Sus scrofa: one gene and its partner. The protein of the gene in region 1 purifies or fractionates together with the protein of each later gene. This does not show direct contact. Links are inferred from orthologs where the notes say so. Each region holds a gene or a part of one and is shown in the gene's direction. Other genes may lie near its edges.

Evidence for each region. The genes of interacting proteins can lie anywhere in the genome.
Region 2: the proteins of BHLHE40 (region 1) and BTRC purify together in Homo sapiens (affinity purification with mass spectrometry; 3 studies listed by BioGRID and IntAct, counting the BioPlex papers as one, with this or other methods). This does not show direct contact. The link is inferred for Sus scrofa from reciprocal best matches to the Homo sapiens genes BHLHE40 and BTRC.

Annotation. Positions count from the first base shown.
Region 1 is NC_010455.5:61,526,830-61,530,577, forward strand, and holds the start of BHLHE40 (class E basic helix-loop-helix protein 40), read left to right. Parts: upstream 1-1,182; 5' UTR 1,183-1,448; coding exon 1,449-1,528; exon of another isoform or gene 1,529-1,688; intron 1,689-1,694; coding exon 1,695-1,764; intron 1,765-1,834; exon of another isoform or gene 1,835-2,009; intron 2,010-2,015; coding exon 2,016-2,123; intron 2,124-3,057; coding exon 3,058-3,181; intron 3,182-3,748. UniProt on the Homo sapiens protein: Transcriptional repressor involved in the regulation of the circadian rhythm by negatively regulating the activity of the clock genes and clock-controlled genes.
Region 2 is NC_010456.5:112,562,744-112,566,391, forward strand, and holds part of BTRC (F-box/WD repeat-containing protein 1A), read left to right. Parts: intron 1-513; coding exon 514-610; intron 611-1,317; coding exon 1,318-1,455; intron 1,456-1,922; coding exon 1,923-2,041; intron 2,042-3,648. UniProt on the Homo sapiens protein: Substrate recognition component of a SCF (SKP1-CUL1-F-box protein) E3 ubiquitin-protein ligase complex which mediates the ubiquitination and subsequent proteasomal degradation of target proteins. Recognizes and binds to phosphorylated target proteins.

The DNA of each region.
Region 1 (3,748 bases):
CGTCCCCCGGTCTGGGCAGAGGGGCTCGAAGTCGGGGACGCTGCGGCCCGAGCTCCGGCCACGTGAAGTGTCACGCCCCGCGCTGCTGCAGGGCAGGCGCCGCCGCCACGGTTGTGTAACGTTGCAGCCCGAGGGGAGGCGACCCGAGCGCCTCCGCTCCGGTGGGGGCAGAGAAGGGAGGGAACGCAGGGCTCCGCGCCGGGTATCTTTCTGTGCTTGACTAGTCCAAGGCGCGCGGGGGGGGGGTACTCTGGAGCACCCTGGGGGGTGGGCAAGTGGGTGCCCGCCAGCGCTCAGGCTGTGCCCGGGAGCGGAACTCCGGGGGAGCCAGGGGCCCGCCGCACGCAGCCTCTCGGATCAGGTGCGCAGAGCGTGCTCGGCGGCGGCCTCGGCTGCCCCTGCGCTTGGCTGCCAGCCCGCTTCCCATGGGGTGACATCCGCCCCGCCCCTCGGCCCCTCCCCACGTCGGGCGATTCCTGGACTCTGGGCTGGAGGGTGGGGGCAGGGAAGCCGGCACCGAAAGAAACCCCAGCCCCTGGGGAAGGCAGGGGGGCCGGGCGACTCCCTCGGCTGAGCGCTGGTTCCTCCGAGCGGACCGCGCGGGGGGAGGAGGAAACGGGTTGGGCTGGAGCGAGCGAGGGGATATTCCTCTCCCGGCTTGAGTCAGAGGCGGGCGGATCCGTCCTCCCCCTTCCCTCCCAGGAGACGGGAACTTACTTCATTTCCCTGGGGCAGGTTCGCCCACGTTACCAACCTCCCCTCCCTGCCCCCCCCCCCCGGCTCCCCGGGCCCTTCCAGCTTCCGCGCCCCCCACCCGGCTGGGCAGGACCCAGGCCGCGCTGCCACCCCCTCTTCGGGGAAAGGCAGCCGCAGACACCTGGGGGCCGGAGCTGGGGGTGGGGGCTCCCTCGCAGCCGCGGGAGCGTTGTCCAACACGTGAGACTCATGTGATGAAGCCGGGGGAGGGCGGGCAGGTCGCTCCTTCCCTCCCCGGCAGCGGCCAGACGTGCCTGGAGTCACAGGGTAGAACACGTAGCTCCAACCCACCCACTCGCTCCCATTTAACCCAGCCCGCAGCCTCTCCATTACTCCTCGGCTCGTTCTCCCCCCACCCCCCCACTCCACCCTAACCGCCCCCCCCCCGCTCCCTCCCGCCTCCCCGCCCGCCCCACTTCTCATTCACTTGGCTCGCACAGCGCAGACGGCGCAGGGAGCACACATCGCCAGTCTGTGCGCAGAGCCTGAGCCAGAAGCCGCGGGGACACCATGCACGCCCCCAACTGAAGCAACACCTCAAAGCCGAAGCTCCGGGCAGCCGGAGGATTTCAGGGAGCTCAGACTCAGAGGAACTCCTGAGGAGAGACCCCTCGAAACCTCTCCAGGACAGTCCTCACCGGACTCTCTGCCACTGCAGACAGGAGCGCACAGTGGCCCCGGCTCGCCGCGCCATGGAGCGGATACCCAGCGCGCAGCCGCCCCCCGCTTGCCTGCCCAAAGCACCAGGACTGGAGCCTGGAGACCTACCAGGGTAAGTTGACACCCCCGGCCCCTTCAAGCCTCAACTCCAGTCCTGCGTTCTGAGCGACTTTCAACTCGGAATCGCTCTGGGCGCATATGCGGGTTCATGCCCGCCAGGGTTCCTGCAGCGGGTGCGCAGGCAAAGTCACGACCCTTCTTCGTCCCTCTCCCTGCAGGATGGATTTTGCCCACATGTATCAAGTGTACAAGTCGAGGCGGGGAATAAAGCGGAGCGAGGACAGCAAGGTAAGGGCCCCGGACCCCTGGGGACCCCAGCCCCTAGCACGCACTGAGTTCCCAAGAAAACTTTTCTCACTTTGAGGTTGGAGGGGGTATGCAAGGTGCGGGGTCCGTGCCTGGATGGCTTGGAGAAGAAGGTAGTTCTGGGTGTGACTCTGTTCATTTGCCCCTACTCTTCTCGCGCCGCGGGGTAAGGGAGGAAAAGGGCTTCTCATCCTCCTCCTCCGGAGCCCACCATTTCCCCGTGCGCCTTGCAGGAGACTTACAAACTGCCGCACCGGCTCATCGAGAAAAAGAGACGTGACCGGATTAACGAGTGCATCGCCCAGCTGAAGGATCTCCTCCCCGAACATCTCAAACTTACAGTAAGTGAGAAGCTGGCCCTTCTCCAAACCAGCTCCTTTGCCCAGAGGGCGGTCGGGGGTCACTCGCCGCCTGCAGGTCCCGCCGGGAACTGCAGGCCAGACGGCTGGATTCGAGCTGCTGGGTGGCTATTTGGGGTACACTTCCCCAGTCCTCAGAATTTTCTGGCAGCCTCATGCAAATAAGGTGAAAACCGTTTGTATTTCTCCAGTTGGCACCAACACCGGCTGGCCTTCCTTTGCAAGAGTTTAAGGCTCACCGTTCTGGTGATTTTCAAGGTTCTCTTGATTTCCTAACTTGAGCAAACCAAGCAACCTGCAATTTTTCTTAACCTCTTTCCTCCCCATCTCTTTTTAAAATGAGAGGACTTGTTTGGGTGTGTGATTTTTTTTTTTTTTTAAACATCCTGTCCTTTCTTGGCAATGGTCAACAGCTTACTAGCTTGACAGCCTTTGGTTGGGGAAAGGGAAAAAAAAAGAAGTATTTAGGGGGAAGAAAAAACTTAGATGAACTGGAAGTTATGACAGGGTGTCAGGAAAGAAACTAGGGAAAGCCTCTTGGCTGCCAGACACAGTAGAAGTCCTTCCTCGGGTTGACACCACTGCAGAGAAATGTAATCTTCGGATTCCCCTGAGTTAAGGTCAGCAGAGGCTGCTGGAAAAATTTATCTGTCAGAGCTTTCTCCTGAGGTAGCTGCTGCTTCCAAAATGCCTCCAAAGATGGGTGACACTCATTTGTTGTTTTTTAACTAGTTTTTTTTTAATAATTATATATATATATATTTTAAACATCTATAAACTTAAAATGAAATTTAGCCAACCAGGAAAGGTTGTTTTTGTTTTTTTTTCCCTTTAGAGACATCTCTCATTGCTAATAAGGGTCCCAGAGGTGGGACTTCTCTGAGCTCCCTGCTGACTGAGGCTCTTTTTATTCCAGACTTTGGGTCACTTGGAAAAAGCAGTGGTTCTTGAACTTACCTTGAAGCATGTGAAAGCACTAACGAACCTAATTGATCAGCAACAACAGAAAATCATTGCCCTGCAGAGCGGTTTGCAAGCTGGTGAGTTCCTGAGCCTGGCTATCTCCTAAGAGTTCTAGCACAAATGGAGAGCCTGTGGGCTCAACATCTGACATAAGAAACATTCCTGCAACAAACTGCTTATGCACATTCACTGGGGAAGATGCTGTTTTATCTTTCCTAAAAGGTCAGACTTTTCATTTGGGAGGCTGCTATGTGCCACCTGGCATGAATACGTATTAGTCAAACGGTAAAATATTTCTGTGGCATTTTGGCTTAAAGAGTTTCTAGGTTCTGGGAGTTTTCCCCCCCTTCCTTTCAAAATGCCAAGGCACCTATAATTTGCATCGTGGGTGTTTTACAGTTAGTCTTCTTAGCCCTGTTTCATTGGAGAATAAAATCATGGGTATGCCCCAGTGTTTTCCTGTGTCTCTACTTCCTTATCACATGGTGTGTGGTATGATCCTGGCAGGATGACAGCAGGAGTTTTTCCTGCATTTCATGTGGTTCCCTGAATAGCCACTAGGTATCTTGGTGAATTACACAATCTCACGAAACCACTGAAGTTTCATCATGTTTCTCCTGACTTCCAGAGAATCACAATCACCT
Region 2 (3,648 bases), on another chromosome or scaffold:
ACTGCCAACACACTTTACCCTACATAAACAAAGACTAGAAAATGTGATCTTTGTGGCAGAGGCATTCCTGCTGCCCATGATGCTGGCTCCAACTGACACTGGCACAGCTTTACTCAGTGGAAAAAAGGCTGTGGGGCATGTTCCTAGTTCAAAGATGGTAGTATCATCACTAACAAAATTTTCAAAGATAAGGCCAATTACAGAGATCTTATTAGACCAGTAGGTGAATTCTGACCATAAGCATTCCATTTGTCTATTGACATAATGTTTCCGAAGACCTGACACTCTGATGTTCCGCATTGGAAATCATCATGTTTTATCCAAAAACAAATCATTTGAGCCCAGAGAGTTCCTCCTGATGTGGGACTCCTGACATCAAGCTTAACTTCATACCTCTCTGGAGATTATAACTACAGATTATATGGAATGGTAACTGTGAAAACACTTTAAAGAAATATGAAGTTCCTTGTAAATGTATAATATGATTTTTATTGGGAAATATTTGTTTTTTAGGGGACAGTATTTATTCAAAAACAAACCTCCTGATGGGAATGCTCCTCCCAACTCTTTTTATAGAGCACTTTATCCTAAAATTATACAAGACATTGAGGTAAGAATATATGTATATTTGGGCATTTGCCAAATACTAGAGAATCATCAACATTCTTCAGTAACAGCAGTGTTATAGCAAACCCATTAAGGTTTATTGATGTGGGTTAAAAATCAGTTTCTTCACAAGTGAATAGGGAAGATAAAATATAGTAAATTGCCAAGCAAAATTTTAAAGCTTTTAAGTTATTCACTGATAAATACATGAAAGAGAGTATGATAATAGCTTTAAAACTGTTGAAGTTGCACTTATAAGCTGTCATTCAAATATCTTCTGAATTGAGCCTCTGTGGAAGCTCACTGGTAGAAATGGCTACCACAAATGTAAGATGAGCACTGAGCAGGTAACCTCATATGAGTCATAGCAAGTGGCAAAATATTTTACAACTTTAAATAGTGGCTTTTTAAAAATATCTTTAGGGAGTTCTCTTGCGGTGCAGCAGGTTAAGGATCTGGTGTTGTCATTGCAGTGGCTTGGGTCACTGCTGTGGCTCAGGTTCGATCCCTAGCCCAGGAACTGCCACATGCCGTGGGCATGGCCAAAGATTTTTAAAAATAAGAAAGTTTTTACATTTTTAGTATGTGTTAAGTTCTGTGTATCCAGTAGAGTAGAGCACTGAGCATTTGTCATAGGTTGCCATGAAATTCAGATGAGAGTTTAGTTCCCTAAAACTAATTACAGCTTCTTTACCCATTCCTTCCTCTCAGACGATAGAATCTAATTGGCGATGTGGAAGACATAGCTTACAGAGAATCCACTGCCGAAGTGAAACGAGCAAAGGAGTCTACTGTTTACAGTATGATGATCAGAAGATAGTAAGTGGCCTTCGAGACAACACAATCAAGGTGAGGTCTCTTCAGTTATGGGAAGGTGGCTGAAGGGGTGAGGGGGACTACAATCCCTAAAGCAATCCAAAGCATAAACTCTAAGCAGTATTTCCAGAAAGTAAGTGAGAGTCCCAAAGCCAAAAATCGTTTCCTTTAAGGAAAAGTACCTGCTTACCCACAGAAACACATGCAAATGGGTAGTGCTAAGGTTAAATTCTCTTCTTGAAGTGCCCTGAATGGGCTATTAGTCTTTTGGCCCTCACATAATTATAGGCTACCCCTGTTTCCTTAATGAAAAGGATCAAGTCTGCATTAGTACTGAAGCCACATATATATAGGTGCTTCGCTATACCTATAGAGAAGAATGCATTCCACACTACTCTGGGCTTTGATTCTTTTGGGGACTCAAACACAAAATAGAGCCAGCAAGTCTCTGCAGCACCCCATTATCATAGTGATCAAAAGGATCTTGTTTGCCATCCTAGATCTGGGATAAAAGCACATTGGAATGCAAGCGAATTCTCACAGGCCACACAGGTTCTGTCCTGTGTCTCCAGTATGATGAGAGGGTGATCATAACTGGATCGTCGGATTCCACAGTCAGGTAGAAAATTTCAATAATCTTTAGAACTCTGAAATGTCAGGTGTACTCTATTCTGTCTTAGTAATTTTGTATATATGTGCATGAACATAGTTCGAAAACTTTATAACTAAAGAATAAACCATCAGCTCCCTCCATAGTTGTGTTAATCTAGAACTAGAAAACTTGATTTAGGAATGGTTATGATAAGTTTACATTTCTGCACATTTAAGAAACTATATATTCTGTTTTAATTTGGGGGAATCATCTCTTATAGAAACGTGGTAAACCTTGCATTTCTTACAAAAACCACCTCACAGGGGAATGACATGAGTGGAATGGAGCCTTCCTTTCAGGTGGTTATAGCTATAGTGCAGGCACGCATTATCTCCTTTAAAATGTGTACAGGTGAGCAGTACTCTCTCTTTGCCAGCCCCTCCCCTGCTGTCCCTGCAGTTTTTAATTGCAGGCTTCACTCAGGGAGGGGGCTTCAATTTCCAGAGGCATTAGTAATTTGATGACACAGCCATTATGCTGCTGGAGTCCAGTGTAGCTTGAGTTCTGGGTACCAGCAGCACTGCTGGAAACCTCTGTTAGGAATTTTGCCTTGAGCTAAAGGGTTTAGCAAACATAATGCATCAAAAGTAACTTTAAAAAAATAGAAAAAAAAAAAAAAAGCAGTTAACTGCATTGTTAGATTCTCTGAAGTTAAAAGTTTACCTTCCAAGTTATCCTCTGTAAATAGAAAAGGCCATTTCTTTTTCTTGTCTTTTGACTTAAAGGCATAGCAGACTCAGTTCTTAGAGTTATCAACATTTAACATTTATTGATGCTTATGGAGTGCCTCAAGGAAGCTGAAAGTTAATAGAAGCTAACATCATTTCTAGGATAAGGGAAAAAATGATTTCCTGAAAGAGGGGGTTAAACTGGAAAAAGAAATAAAATGTGTTAGTAAAACCAAAGTAAACGTACAGAAGTAGAGTGGTCAAAGCAAAATATATCCTCACACAGCAGTCTCAAGCTATTCAAGGGTCCTGCCCTCTGCTGCGAAACCTATATATATATTGGGGTGGCCATTCTTGATACCTACCCTCATTTAAGACACAGAAATGGGGCCTTAGATTTAGGGTCTAGGTAATCTTAGGCCTTGACCTGTGTGGTAAAAACCAAGATCCAGAGTCGTCAAGCTCAGATCCATAGTACTGAGTCATCTGTTAGAGAAGTTTCTTGGCCTCTATCTGTTCTAAGACCTGAGGGCTGCCTCTTGGGACCACCAGTGCTGCAGTTATTAATTAAATATATCAGATTGTGGAGTTCCCTCATGGCCTATTGGTTAAGGATTCGGCATTGTCATTGCTGTGGCTCAGATTCGATCCCTGGCCTGGGAACTTCTTCATGCCATGGGTGCAGGCAAAAATACATATATGCGTGTATTTCTTAAATTTTAAATTTTTCTAACAGATTGAGTGTCAGAAGCTTTATAGTCATCTCGAAGTCTGGGGCCAATTAGCTGGTGACTGTGGCTGCAGGCTCATTCCTGCCCCCAAACAACTAGCACAGATTTCCAAGTTGTGTATCTTAAGGATTTCACACTGGCAGCATCCCATCCCCTTCCTCTTCCCACTCTCACA